Xenopus tropicalis: one gene and its partners. The protein of the gene in region 1 purifies or fractionates together with the protein of each later gene. This does not show direct contact. Links are inferred from orthologs where the notes say so. Each region holds a gene or a part of one and is shown in the gene's direction. Other genes may lie near its edges.

Evidence for each region.
Region 2: the proteins of ran (region 1) and nup214 purify together in Homo sapiens (affinity purification with mass spectrometry; 3 studies listed by BioGRID and IntAct, counting the BioPlex papers as one, with this or other methods). This does not show direct contact. The link is inferred for Xenopus tropicalis from reciprocal best matches to the Homo sapiens genes RAN and NUP214.
Region 3: the proteins of ran (region 1) and ipo9 purify together in Homo sapiens (affinity purification with mass spectrometry; 3 studies listed by BioGRID and IntAct, with this or other methods). This does not show direct contact. The link is inferred for Xenopus tropicalis from reciprocal best matches to the Homo sapiens genes RAN and IPO9.
Region 4: the proteins of ran (region 1) and ncbp1 purify together in Homo sapiens (co-immunoprecipitation; 3 studies listed by BioGRID and IntAct, with this or other methods). This does not show direct contact. The link is inferred for Xenopus tropicalis from reciprocal best matches to the Homo sapiens genes RAN and NCBP1.

Annotation. Positions count from the first base shown.
Region 1 is NC_030677.2:157,743,361-157,747,558, reverse strand, and holds the start of ran (GTP-binding nuclear protein Ran), read left to right. Parts: upstream 1-1,357; 5' UTR 1,358-1,513; exon of another isoform or gene 1,514-1,670; intron 1,671-2,058; exon of another isoform or gene 2,059-2,189; intron 2,190-4,198. UniProt on the Homo sapiens protein: GTPase involved in nucleocytoplasmic transport, participating both to the import and the export from the nucleus of proteins and RNAs. Switches between a cytoplasmic GDP- and a nuclear GTP-bound state by nucleotide exchange and GTP hydrolysis.
Region 2 is NC_030684.2:12,371,340-12,374,906, reverse strand, and holds part of nup214 (nuclear pore complex protein Nup214), read left to right. Parts: intron 1-363; coding exon 364-526; intron 527-1,368; coding exon 1,369-1,512; intron 1,513-3,567. UniProt on the Homo sapiens protein: Part of the nuclear pore complex. Has a critical role in nucleocytoplasmic transport.
Region 3 is NC_030678.2:75,002,320-75,005,886, reverse strand, and holds part of ipo9 (importin-9), read left to right. Parts: intron 1-2,647; coding exon 2,648-2,787; intron 2,788-3,567. UniProt on the Homo sapiens protein: Nuclear transport receptor that mediates nuclear import of proteins, such as histones, proteasome and actin. Serves as receptor for nuclear localization signals (NLS) in cargo substrates.
Region 4 is NC_030677.2:107,423,938-107,427,504, forward strand, and holds part of ncbp1 (nuclear cap-binding protein subunit 1), read left to right. Parts: intron 1-1,497; coding exon 1,498-1,713; intron 1,714-2,344; coding exon 2,345-2,442; intron 2,443-3,567. UniProt on the Homo sapiens protein: Component of the cap-binding complex (CBC), which binds cotranscriptionally to the 5'-cap of pre-mRNAs and is involved in various processes such as pre-mRNA splicing, translation regulation, nonsense-mediated mRNA decay, RNA-mediated gene silencing (RNAi) by microRNAs (miRNAs) and mRNA export.

The DNA of each region.
Region 1 (4,198 bases):
AACGAGAAAAGGTAGCAGAATTTTAACGATATTATTGTGATCAGTATGAAAAGTTATAAACATTAGAAAAAATATACATAATTTTTGCAATTGTGGTCATCATGCTTTGATAAATGTGCCTCTTGGTGTTGATATTTGCAGTAACTAAAATAAGAGCAATGATAAATCACATGGGGTATTTAATTTTGGGGCCCCTATATGCCACATACTTTGGTAAACTTACTCACATTGGACATCAAACTGTTTAGCAGAGCCCTGGGGGCACATTTACTAATCCACGAACGTCCGAAAAGTGTCCGAAGGCGTTTTTTTCGTAATGATCGGTATTTTGCGACTTTTTCGCGAATTGTCATAAGATGCTACAAAGTGGAAGCTTTAAAGTGATTTTCCAAAATGTAATAAAAACCACCAAATTCAGGAAGGGTTTGTGGTTTGGAGTAGAAAGACATATTCATTTGGATTTGGGAGAATGTGTTAATATTAAGTAGAGCCCTGATGTTCATATTTGGGGTGTTTTATATTGATACCTCATGTAGGAAATAAGATGCTCAAATGGGAAAGGTTTAGTGCAAATTTTTCAAAATTCCAGAAATTGTTATAAAAATCCCTAACTTAAGGAAAGGATTGCAGTTGGCTAGTTTAGAGTATTGAGAGATATTCATGGCTTTTGGATTTGCCATAATGTATTCTTTAAAAATATGTATGGTTTGTTTGGGTACTTTGTTACTGTGTTGCTGATATTTTGGCCCATACAAGTCAAACAATTCTATGAAACTATACAAATCTTGTGTTGACAGTCAGTAGATACAGGGCATTCCAAATCAGTTGTATCTTCAGGCATAAAATGAATTTTTTCTGATATACAGTATGTCTGTATTATGTAAAATGTAATTATTAGCTTATATCGTGTTGCTAAATTGAATTAAAAAAAAGCATATATTGTTTTTGAGGGTTTAAAGTGTTCACCTTCAACAGCAAAACGTTATTAACGCATAAAGCATGGTCTCGGAGTATCTAGTAGAATTAAGTCTAAAACAACTGGACTTTTTCTGAGTTTTCTTGAAATGTTTCACCACTAATCCGAGTGGCTTCTTCAGTTCAAATGACTGGTAGGGAATTCCCCGGTATTTAAACTCTTGATGGTAGTAGAGTCACAGAGTCGGAGCTTATGCCATTTTTCCCTTTGTGTTCCTCAGTGCAACCCACTTCTATCAGTTGACATACGTAAAAACGTAAAACAATGTGCCATTTGTACATGACACGCTGCAGATAGCCCTTTGTTAGTGCTGCGCCAGAAGAGGCGCGCTACACGGAGCCCTTACGTAAGTCCTTTCATTCAAACCTTCCCGCCTATAGGCCTTTCCCCGCACTCCCGCCCGCCGCATTGCTGCTGCTTGCACTGCCCGCACTGACGTCATCGCCTCCCACGTCACCGCCCCTCCCAGAGCGCGCCCTGCTATTTGAATCCCGCTTCCGCCATTTTCTCTCGCTGCTTTACAGACGCTTCTGGAAGGTGAGATTCTAACCCGTGGGAGATATAGGCTGGGCCCTGCCGCATAATCCGCCCGACATCTCGGCCATCCCTATTCGCAAAGCGTCCCGAAGCTCTTGTAGCACTCGCTGGTTAATCGTGCGGCCGGGCACGGTAGATTTGAGAGGGATTCTAGTCGGTAAGGGAAAAGCGGGGCTGAGAGCCTGATGAGAGGCGGGGGGAGTTATATGTTGGCGCGCTTTTTTTCCTCCATGGCGCTACATTCTTTATGGGACTTCACTGCTAGTTCCTTATGTAATTTGCTGGGATGTTCTGTTAGCAGAGGCTACACGTATTCTGCTAATTATCAGTGGGCGAGTTCTCTCGTTTGTGTGGCCTCTTCTTTTTATTTCGCCGGTGACTAGACAGTATCAGGCGCGATAAACATGACTTGTACTAGGCCGAGTCCCATGAAGTGCCATGTAGGCCGGGTTTATACATACTCAATATTGTGGCTGTTAAGTAAAGGCAGACTAGTTAAAACCTATGTAGTTTGCGGGGAAACCGGGAAGCAGGCCGTCGCAGGAAGCGCGTCCCCGCCATTAGCGCTCATTCACCCCGGAACCTCATGTGTCACTGAGGCGCGACGCTAGCATCCCCGGCCTTGTTCTATTAACCGCACCGCCCTGCTCTCCTAGGCCTGCTAGCTTGCGGGAAGGTACCACTTAGCTGGGGTGGAGGGGTGGCCGATAGATTATGTATTGGCCGGAGCTTGCTAGTTGAGACAAACATTTATGGGTCAGCCGATAGTTAGCACGGAGAATGGATTTTTTTTAATCCACTAATCCTGGTCCCAGTGACTAATTGTCATGTGGGACCCAACTTTGTCAGGCGTGAAATTGGCATTGTTCTGTCACGTAACCAAAATGGCATTGGCAGCGATGGGCAGTTGTTTCCACAAGCTTTAGTGGGTGGGTTGGCCTGCGTGCTATTCCGCCTGCTGGTACCTGCGCTGAGCCAATGCGCTGCAGCTATTCCTCACACGTGGGCCTCTAACTTCTGGCACACAAAGTTTTACTTAAACGGAAACTCCAACCCAAAGCTCTATTTTTACAAAGAAAACAACATTTAATTAGAAGCTACTTTTCTTATATACTTACACACTTTTTTGTGATATTGGCAGATGCAAGCTGATTAAGGCTAATTGCACATCCTGTGGGGTTTTTTGTACTGTTGCTATGCAGTGATGTTGGCAGTAACTTCCTGTTGCTCTGTTTATAGGCAGATGTTGGCACAAGTGTACATATAAATGGCTGGTATTGATAACACTACACATGGGCCAGTATCTTTTTCCCTCTGTTGAAGAAACTCTGCTTTTGTCCTTAGCCTAACAGGCCTGACAGAAACTGACATTTTTGTTTGAGCCAGAGGTAGAGAGCAGAAAGGGATGAAAACTGGATCTAAGCTTTGTGTATTTGAAAAGTCTTTGGTTTTAGATACCTTTTAAGCAAATACAGGCATCCAGGTTGTTGGGCATACCAAACCAATGCTTTAATACACAAGATAAGTGTCTTAAAGGACAGTGAAAAGAGAAAGGATTGGGGGTGCCAATTTGTTGGCAATTGCAGTCACGGGGGGTTAACTCTAAATCCCAGGTCAGTTCTTTCTGACCGCTTAGTAGTACCAGAACCATGCCACTGTGTTCTATAATGTTTCAGCAGTCTTTTTGGGTCCAACCGCAGTTGATGTGTGCAATCCTGATGACCACAAGGCACCTGGGACATTTCAGAAGATGGCATCACAGCTCTGGCAGAACTGTGTGTGTTTTTAGCTGGTAGCTCCGCCCCACATTTTTATAAGCCATCAAGCTTTGCTCCAGCCTCTATGCTTTGTCGCTCTTAAGCCCAAATTGTGATGGTGGTTTCCAGCTCTGGCTGCTTGTTTGGCGCCATGTAATGCACTATGTTGTGAGCTTTTGGTTTACAGCAGCTTCAGAAAGTGGTTCATTTTGTGTTATTACCCATACATGTATTTCCCTGCTCTGCTGGCGAGAAATGTTGTTTGAGAACACGTGACTGTCTTTGATTTCCCATGGGTCAGTTGGGTAGTTGTTCAGGTTCATGGGAAAACGTTAAAGGTCTATTAGAATGACTTTACTGCACCCATATATGTAATTGAATGTCCAATGGCCTTAACGCTTTGTATGGTGTAAAGATATGTACTGTGTAAGGCAGTTGATCAGTTTATAAAGTATATTTTTTTTAATTTGTGTGCACTCAACTGGAACATTAGGAATCACTGGGGGCATGTCTTGCCAACTGGCACCCAATGACTTTAATCACTAACCTATCTCATTAGTGCTCATTTACAAAAAATAAAAATGCATGATGTAATTCTGACCCCCACTCCATCTTTTTTTCTGCTTTTTGTGGTGTCACAGGGAATGTTTAGGAAGGTAAAGTAAGGCATGCTGGTGCATTATTTTTTTTTTTTAGAGGAAGGCCACTAGCCCATGATAGATTAGAACCATTGGTGAGTTCTAGCAAATGTACACCCTCCCATGATTTTTACCTTTTTAACCACTGAGTCATTCAAGAATTCCTAGTAAACAGTGTAAGATGAAACCTACAGTATCAACTATTTTCTCTTTACACAATGCTCCTTTAACATTCATGAATAAGAGGTGTAAAAGTGAGGGAGGATCAAGTGATGTGGGCTGACTATGCT
Region 2 (3,567 bases), on another chromosome or scaffold:
GAGATGGGGGGGACCTGCCCTAGTTCAGTTTGGTTTTCCTTTCCTGACTGCCAATAACACTTTCCCTTTGTCCTTGCCTAAACAAAAGCAAGGGACTGGTTCTCATCTAATGGGATTTATGGCCTATGATGTTTGGCCTTTGTTTTCCAAAAATAAATTTAATTTACCTATATTTTGTATTCTGTGGAACACTCATAAATCTGATACCTGTTGGTATGACACGGAAACCTCCTGCATGGTTCTCTAAAGTCCAAGTGTCTCCTTTTTAAATGTATTTCTACCTAGGCCTAAATAATGCATTACATTAGGATATGCAGTACTGTGTATATTCTATAATTCACAGTATCCCCTGTGTTTCTGCAGCAGTCGGCTCCTTCCAGCGGGGGCCTATTTGGAGCAGGAAGCAGTGGAGCGGGTACCGGAGGGTTATTCAGCGGCCTCGGAGCAAAACCCAGCCAGGAAGCTGCCAACAAGAATCCTTTTGGTTCCCCGGGTTCCTCTACTTTTGGTGCAGCCAATGCATCCAGTAAGTGCCACTTGTTCCAGCTGAAGCCGCCCATACCTGCAAACATACAGCCTATTAATAAAAGCTTTATAGGGGTAAGGGCTTGTGAGGTTATTATAGGGACAATAGCTGAAGTAGGTCACATGGTGATTCTGCTGTCAGGCTATTGGATCTCCTTGATGAATGTAGCAGATAGTGGTTCTGGCTGCTCTTGAACTCCCTGTGGGTAGCAGTGTCTGAGGAGCTGGGAGACACTCTCTGCATTGCAGATGTCTGGAAAAATTACTGCCTCGCTGACTTCCAAAGGGTTTCTTCCTGCATTTAAAGGGATAGGTCACCTGTACAACCCAAACTTATTATATACAGGTATAAATTGGCTTATTCTTAGCAACTTTTTTAGGTTTTTTTTTTTATAGTTTTTGAATGATTTGCTTTCTCCTACTGCTGCTTTCCAGACCCCAGCAGCCAAAGTCTATGGTTCTGTAAAGCTACAGTTTTATTACTTTACTGTTTATCCATAGCAACCAGCCGGCAAATTTCAATGGACTAGTGCTGTTAGAGACAAGATCCATAACCTATTTTAGTTGTGAGCCAATTAAGTGTTGGTGAGCCACACAAGCATGTGTTTGGGGTTCCAAATAAAGATTGTGATTGGCTATTCGATAGCCCCATATGGACTGCTAGCCTACAGGAGGCTCTGCTTGAACTAAAACGGAGTCTAGGCCAAAAATGTAAAAATAGACGCCTACTTCGAGGCTGCTGGGAGCAATATCAAAGGCAAATGGTGAGAGTACTAAATCTGACCAGTTTGGATGTTGTGGTGTGCTTTAGAAGTGATGCCCTGATCACCCTATTAATTGCAGATGCCAGCAACCTGTTTGGCAACAGTGGAGCCAAGTCTTTTGGGTTTGGCGGCACATCGTTTGGGGAGAAACCCTCGGGAACATTCAGCGCAGGTGGCAGTGTGGCCTCCCAGGGATTCGGCTTCCCCAGCCCCACTAAGACAGGTATTGTACATATGGTACATGTTGCATTGCAGTCTGGTCATGTGCTCCCAGAACATTCCTTCTCTGTATATTTGTATTTATACATATGGGAGGGAGGTGCCATAGTGTTTCCCTTAGACAGTACAGTATGGGGGTACAGCTTATTGTGTGCCCAGAACATTCCTTCTCTGTATATTTGTATTTATACATATGGGAGGGAGGTGCCATAATGTTTCCCTTAGACAGTACAGTATGGGGGTACAGCTTATTGTGTGCCCAGAACATTCCTTCTTTGTATATTTGTATTTATACATATGGGAGGGAGGTGCCATAGTGTTTCCCTTAGACAGTACAGTATGGGGGTACAGCTTATTGTGTGCCCAGAACATTCCTTCTCTGTATATTTGTATTTATACATATGGGAGGGAGGTGCCATAGTGTTTCCCTTAGACAGTACAGTATGAGGGTACAGCTTATTGTGTGCCCAGAACATTCCTTCTCTGTATATTTGTATTTATACATATGGGAGGGAGGTGCCATAGTGTTTCCCTTAGACAGTACAGTATGGGGGTACAGCTTATTGTATGCCCAGAACATTCCTTCTCTGTATATTTGTATTTAAACATATGGGAGGGAGGTGCCATAGTGTTTGCCTTAGACAGTACAGTATGAGGGTACAGCTTATTGTGTGCCCAGAACGTTCCTTCTCTGTATATTTGTATTTATACATATGGGAGGGAGGTGCCATAGTGTTTCCCTTAGACAGTACAGTACGGGGGTACAGCTTATTGTGTGCCCAGAACATTCCTTCTCTGTATATTTGTATTTATACATATGGGAGGGAGGTGCCATAGTGTTTCCCTTAGACAGTACAGTATGAGGGTACAGCTTATTGTGTGCCCAGAACATTCCTTCTCTGTATATTTGTATTTATACATATGGGAGGGAGGTGCCATAGTGTTTCCCTTAGACAGTACAGTATGGGGGTACAGCTTATTGTGTGCCCAGAACATTCCTTCTCTGTATATTTGTATTTATACATATGGGAGGGAGGTGCCATAGTGTTTCCCTTAGACAGTACAGTATGGGGGTACAGCTTATTGTGTGCCCAGAACATTCCTTCTCTGTATATTTGTATTTATACATATGGGAGGGAGGTGCCATAGTGTTTCCCTTAGACAGTACAGTATGAGGGTACAGCTTATTGTGTGCCCAGAACATTCCTTCTCTGTATATTTGTATTTATACATATGGGAGGGAGGTGCCATAGTGTTTCCCTTAGACAGTACAGTATGAGGGTACAGCTTATTGTGTGCCCAGAACATTCCTTCTCTGTATATTTGTATTTATACATATGGGAGGGAGGTGCCATAGTGTTTCCCTTAGACAGTACAGTATGAGGGTACAGCTTATTGTGTGCACTTACAGACACCATTACTAGGCAATTGGTCCTATAATGGGGTTAAAACCCTTACACTACTAAGTCCTGGCACGGCGGTGCTGGTGATTGATTCAGGCCTAGGCAGAACATGTCACCAATAATTGGATTGAGGGATGTGGCTTTGCACAAACACCGCTCTGGGGTCAGGCCCAAACGAAGGCCTTATCCTTCCCATAGTAACCACACATTAATTTGTAGCCGAGGAAATGTCTGAGCGTGTCCTTCCTGTGCCCTGTAACTAAGGCTAGCTCTCTGCTGCTAGAGAATGTACATTTATTCCCAGTACTCGGCTCGTGCTGAGGAAGCAATGGGGACTCCATGTATTACTCCCTTCCCTGTCTCTTAGCTCCGCCCTCATACAGCCGGGCTTCCCCCTGGCCTTCGTTATAAGCGGATCATTAATAAACATGCCGTAACCAAATCTCCAAACCACTTCAATCAATAATTCAAGGGCAACTTTTCTTTTTTTTAATTTTGGGGTATGGAGCAGGGAGGCTACACCTTTCACTGTTTTACTGGCCTGCAATATGTTATCCCATGCAGAGCTAATAGTCTTACTGTGTATTAGTAAGCACTGGCGGGAATAGCCTGTCGGCATTGGCAACTGGTTATTAGTCTGGCACTTACACATACAG
Region 3 (3,567 bases), on another chromosome or scaffold:
ATTGTGTATATTTTGATTTAGAGGGAATTTTAAACCTCTCTGGATTCCTTAGAGTGTTGTTGACACAAGCCGTCAGCAAACCGTATTTACCTGGGTCAGTGTAAGTCTAATTGTACATTTTCTCTTGATCCTTTTGAGGATCCAGGGAAATAACAGAATGGTGCACAAGCCACACATGAGGCTACAAATGCAACTACACCCAGACTGTGTCTGATCATTATCCAGTCTATTTCTGTCTGGGTTTGACTTTAAAAAATGGTCAAAAACTCTGATAGGACATTTGTGTGGGTTAAGGTGGCCATACACGCACCGATATTATCGTACGAAACAAGGTTAGAAGGCGCCTGACAAATTCTCCCTTCAGAGCTGAATCGGCAGAAGGAGGTAGAAATCCTATTGTTTCTACCTCCTTACCTGCCGATTCAGCCCTGAATGGTGTGTGGCGGATCTTACGATGTTTCGTGCGACCGATGGTCGTACGAAACATCGTCAGATCGCCACGTGTATGGCCAGATTTAGATAGTTGGGTAAAAACTCTATATTTAGATCTGGATGATAGATTGTGGCGCTTTGTCCTCTCCAGGATCTTCCTGCTTGGTAACAAACGCCCCTGGTTGTTAAAGGGATTCTGTCATGATTTTTATGGTGTACTTTTTATTTCAAAATTACACTGTTTACATAGAAAATAATTCACTGTGCCATTTAAAATGTTGTTCTTGTTTCTCCTACTCCATGTAACTGGTGGAGTTCCAAGTCAGGCTTGGATTTTTTTACTATTGAGTGCTATTCTGATATCTACCACTTTAAGGGCTCTGGCACACGGGGAGATTAGTCGCCCGCGACAAATTCGCGGACGACTAATCTCCCCGAATTGCCGATATCACTCCAGCTTGCAGTAAAGTAGGACTGAAGTTTATCAGAGTATAAGTCACATGGCTGTGGCACCCTGGGAAATGAACAATATGGCTAGCCCCATGTGAAATTTCAAAATTAAATGCTGGAGATGCTCTATTAACTGATGTGTTTTTAAAAAACAAAACAAAACAAAACAAAAATGTTTTCCCATGACATTATGCCATCATTGTGGCATTGTCATAGCTGATAAGAAACTAAAGCACACCACCCATTTGCTGGTGCTCCACTGTCCAGGGTCGGACTGGGCCCCAAGCCGTAGTGGGGCCCTGCTGGCTCAGACCCAGTTCCCTCCCTTGAGCGCTAATAGCTCTCCCCCGATGCTCCGGTGCTATGCATTATGTACGGGAGGGGGGTGAGGCGACCTGCAAGAGCCCCTGAGGGGGCGGCACCCCCAGTCCAACCCTGCCACTTTCTCAAGCTGCTGCAATCCAATTTTAGTACAATTACAAAAAAAAAAGATGGGAAGGACACATGGGCTGTTTCTTGCTGGCTGTTGCCCTACAGAATTGACGGCATTCCCCAAGACACTTTCAGATTTGTAGTAAGGTTGAGGTCCAAATGGTTTGCTTATGGAAAATTATTTTCCATGAATGTTTATATGTTTGCAAACCGTTTACCCCCAAAAGTGATTGATTTATTAATACTTGAAAATAGGCCTGTGGAATATGTAAGACCTCTGTTAAATAAAATAATACATTTCCATTTGTAGACCTTTATTAAAGGAACATTTAACATTTTATTAAAGGAGAAGGAAAGGCTGGTAAAGAGTTAATCTCAAGCTGCAGGCATACCTTCAGTTGTCTCAATAGTGCCCTTAAGTCTCCCCATATTTCACCTTTTCAGAAAATCTGAAGCCAAACAGGAAGAAAATACGCTGAGCTGTGTAAAGAAAGTTCCCATAATACCTCACACCTGCACAGACACCCAGACCAAGTGAACATGCTCAGTGTGTAAGACTATGAGTCAGCTTCCTGCTGATTGGCTCAGATCCACATTCCTAAGGGGGAAAGTGAGTTCTTAGCATTCTTGAGGGAGGGGGGAGCAGGAAAGAGCAGAGAACAGAAAGCTGTGTGTATCTGGCACAGGAATTAGACACAACTAATCTTTTCAGAGAAGTCAGTGCAGCGTTTCTGTGAGTGCTTATGGCTGTATTTACATAGACCTTTCTGATAAAGCTTACTTAGTTTTTACCTTTCTTTCTCCTTTAAAGGAACACCAAACAATTAAAGTGTACCAAAGTAATCAAGATATTATATACTATTGCCCTGAAGGTTACATAGCAGGTAACAGAAAAGCTTTGTAGAATATAATGGGAATCTATGCAATGTATCTGTTATCTGCTATGTAACCTGTGCCTATTCTCCTTTTTTCAATTTGAATGGCGGCTCCCATGATTACACAACAATTTTGCTTAGATAAACTATAGTAGTGTTCCTGAAGCAAACACACAACTTTTACCAGTGCAGGACAGTAGTACATAATATATTAATCATTTTGATACACTTTAATTTTTGGGTGTTACTGTTGCTTTAACATATTGGACAGCAACCAGTTATTTCAAGGATACGTGTAGCACTAAATACCAGCAATAACATGGGCAATTTATCGGGAAGACTGCATAATCAGATCCAGAGAAAACTTAAAAGAACAGTGTGTGTCTGGTACATACATAGTCTATTTATACAAGCTGTGTAATAATAATCCAATTTTACTTGCTTTCCCTTTTACATAGGTGGAAGATACATGAGGCCTGTATGCTGGCCCTTGGATCAGTAAAGTCTGTGATCACAGAAGGTGTTCAGAGTGGACGGGTGCAGTTTGATATGCATGGATTCCTAACTGGTGTCATCCTTTCAGATCTCAACCTTTCAGGTGTGTGTTGATGGGTTTGTAGAGCTGTGTTAATTAGAGCAATGTTTAACAGTTGGCAGATATATTGTTCATGGATCTGTATAAAAGTAAAAACAAAGTGGTGAGGGGGGTGGGGGACCTACTGGGTTAAGGTCCATCCTTCAGAAGGCAGGACAGAAAAAAAGAGGATGGGCCAGGAATACTCTACCCTTACCCATAAGCTTTCCTGTTTGACATATTTAAGTGTCTTGTCTACATAAGACCCACAGCACTGACCTGGGACAGGACTCGCTGTACCCTACAGTGTTAGCCTTCTATATGGGTTGAAGAGATGCCACTTAGAGTTCTCGGCAACTTCTCCCCAGAGATTTTTCATGTTTAAAGTCATGTGGAAAGTCTCGCTTTCTAAAATGTAACTGAAACGGGTTGTCCTGGTACCATAGCGGGAGCAGTTCTGTGGGCTTTACTCCAATCTCTTTAGGAAGGAGCACCCCCTCCTTCCTATCAAGGGCTTGAGCCATTATCTCACAAAGGAGAAGCTGCGCTTAGTCATCAAGGCACCAAACCAACTCTTGATGCCCTTGGATATCAAGGACACATATTTACACTGTTTTTGAAAAATGGATTTCAATGCAGGATTCTGCTGGAGAAGCTCTTTTAACTGATGCATTTTGAAAAAACTTGTTTTTCCATGAAAGTATTCCTTTAAGAGGGCCCCAAAGTCATACCTGAGAGGTTCTTTTTTTGTTTTAAGCATTCTTACTTGTGTAATTTATTGTTTACTTTAACTGAAATATATCC
Region 4 (3,567 bases), about 50 Mb from region 1:
CATCGATACAAGTGTGCGGACCAAGCCAAAGCTGGGAAGCTGTTGTTAATGTCCCAACATGGCCACCTGCACCAGGAGATCCCGGTGGGTGACTAAGCATTTAGTGGGGTCAGGGGAACATTTTTTGTATGGTAGGTGGCCTTTAATGTTTAATGGATGCTTGTAGGTTTTTCTTCACATTTCTGAATGTGCTGATTTTAGCCTTGAAAAATGCACAGGAAAAGGTCAGAGTGACTCCACAGTCCTTAGCAGATGGTCAGGACTGCAGATCAAGGCCATGCTGCTTTAGGGCCATGATTATTTTAGAGACCCTCCAGCCCCCTGAGGAAGATTAAACCTTTTAGGGTGCCCAAATGCCTTCCCGCTTCATGGAGGTCTGCAGGCAAGTTTTCCCCTGTCTGATGCTTCATTTTTCTCTCTCGGAGAGGTCTGCACCTGTCTAATATGCAGGTTATGCATTGGCTGGGGCAACACTACGGCTGGCAGGTAGGTGAACAGTCCTTTCCAGCTCATTCTACTCGAGCCATCAGCACCCAGGGGTCTGCTAAGCAGATTTACAAAACAGTTACCTGGTTTTTCTTACACTTGCTTTCTTCTCTACAAGGTTTACATACAGTCCCTAGATCAAGCTAGCTTTGGGATGTGGGTATTACAGGCAGTGTTTTCTGAATGTTTCAGGGGAAACATCATGGGTTGCTTCGGCATGTCCCCATGGTGCCTGTTTCCCCCAGTGTAGGCAAGAGAAAGATTAAAGAAATTGTCATGATTTTTATGGTATACTTTTTATTTCTAAATTACACTTTTTACATAGTAAATAATTCTACCGTTTAAAATATTATTCTTGAACCAACAAATGTATTTTTTTTTGTTTTTTAGCTGTAATATTGGTGTGTAGGCAGCCATCTCAGGGCATTGTGCTGAGCTTTCAGAAGGAGCCAGCGCTACATATTAGAACTGCTTTCAGATAACCTATTGTTTCTCCTACTCCCATGTATCTGGAGGAGTCCCAAGCCGGACTTGGGTTTCCTACTATTGAGTGCTATTCTGATATCTACTGGGAGCTGCTATCTTGCTACCTTCCCATTGTTCTGCTAACTGTGTTCTGCCCCATGTGAAATTTTAAAATTAAATATAAAAAATCTGTTTGTGCTTTAAAAAAAACTATTTCAATGCAGGATTCTGCTGGAGAAGCTCTATTAACTGATGCGTTTTGAAAAAAACATGTTTTCCCATGACAGTATTCCGTTAAGTAGTTTACTTGCTGAAAAGCCAGATAAGGGGCTTCTTTTCTGTTTTAAAAAAAAAAATTAAAGGGGAGAATATGCTACGTGCCAATTGGTTGTACCAGGAAATAAATGCCTAGAAAATCATACAGATACTAAAGTTGGTGATCTAGAAAACATTTAACAGCCTTATAAGAGTGAATCAAATTAAGTTGATGGATTTTAAGGTGTTTCTACTTTAATTTACATTTGAAAACTTCTGCATTCTCTTCAGTATTTAGACTGCTTGTGGGCACAAATACAGAAGTTAAAAAAGGACCGTTGGCAAGAAAGACACATCCTACGTCCATACCTAGCCTTTGACAGCGTTTTGTGTGAAGCTCTGCAGCACAATCTTCCACCATTTACACCACCACCTCATACTGAAGATTCTGTGTACCCAGTGCCAAGAGTTGTTTTCAGGATGTTTGACTACACAGATGCACCTGAGGTAAAGAATAACGAGCGCAATCTTATAAAGCTTTGAGCTTTATGGACATCAGAGGAATGTGTTCAGATGGGTTGAATAGTTCCTGTGTCTAACAGGGCATCAGCTAGTTTCGACCTTTCATATGTTTTTGAACTACAACTACTAGAGAGTTTGGATGCAATTTCATATAAATGTTCCCATTTTTTTTTACTTCATGTAATGTTTATACAAGTTAATTTGTCAGTCCTAAGTTATTTGTGTAAACTATTCTTAATGCAGACATACTAACTGAATTATGCATATGAGGCCAAATTTATTTAGAGGTTCGGCGTTTCAGTGAAAATAAATGCACTTCGTGCAATCTCTTTTATAACTTACATTGGATATGAGGATATGAATAGATTGTGTGGACATGAGGGAATATATCCCGGCATAGTTGGGAAAATTATTAGAATTGTTCCTGTATGGCTGCTGCCCAAGTGATGTCTGCAGGGTCCATCACTCAGTTTAAATAATGTTCTGGCCCTCTTCCACACTGAGTTTTCAACCAAATTTGAAATTTATTTAGTGGACTATTTTGAATTGTGTATTAAAATCCCTATTTTATTTTTTTGTTACCCACAGGAATTTTACAATATTTATATTCTTGCAGGGTCCAGTCATGCCTGGAAGCCATTCTGTAGAGCGCTTTGTTATAGAAGAAAATCTGCATTGCATACTTAGATCACATTGGCGTGAAAGGAAAACATGGTATGACTTTTTTTCTTTTTTTTCTGTTTAATTCTGAAGTTGGCCACCTAGTGTTCTATATTTATTAGATTTAATAGATTTTTCTCTTTAATACTTTTTTTGTGCGCCCCAGGCTTATAATTGCTGATTTAGTGAAGGAAAGTTACAATCACTAGGGGGGGGGGGTTTAATCCCTTACCTCAGTGCTGTCCAACTTCTGTTGTACCGAGGGCCGGAATTTTTCCGACCTATGTGGTGGAGGGCCGATAATGGAAGCCAGTTTTGACCACTCCCCTTTTTGAAACCGCACCCACTTGAAACCACACCCATGTTATCACATGACCATACCCATATTAATGGTTATAGTACAGCAAAAACCTGCCATACTCTGCCTGCCCTACCCTGCCTGTGTGTGCCATACTCTGCCTTCCCTACCCTGCCTGTGTGTGCCATACTCTGCCTTCCCTACCCTGCCATACTTTCACTGTGTTTACCATTCTTGGCTGGTTTGTGCCATACTTGGCCTGTGTGTGCCATACTCTGCCTGTGTGTGCCATACTCTGCTTGCCCTATGATGCCTGTGTGTATGGCACACACAGGCAGCCTACAGTGACACAATGCTGGCACTGCTCCTACAGTCTGCACAATAACTATATATTAAAAAACTTTTTAATTGAAGTACCACCTCAGTATATGTTCTTTTTGTAGTGTGCAGGGATTATTTGTGGGTTTCTACTGCTCCTGAGGTGTGAACAGGGGAACAATGGGGGTGATTACAGCCTGAGCCTGAGGTGTGAACACTGCAGGGGGTGAACAATGCAGAGATTAAAAGGTGTGAACAACACAGGGGATTACATGTTTAAACAATACAGCCTGATTACAGCCTGAATCTGAGGTGAGAACCATGCTGGGGGGGCAGTTAATCTCAGTACTGATACCATTTAAAGGTTACACAAAGGTAAGCCATCAAAGCAGCCAGACAGGTGGGGGGCCACACAGAGGGCCGCCAGTTGGACAGCACTGCCTTACCTGATACTTGGGCTGGTGCTTCTGTTATCAGAGAACTGCAAGCGGGGTTCCAGCGACCAAGCAATCCTTTTTCACTCGTCTATCTTCAGAATCCTACATGCGCAGTGGAGTGGAAAA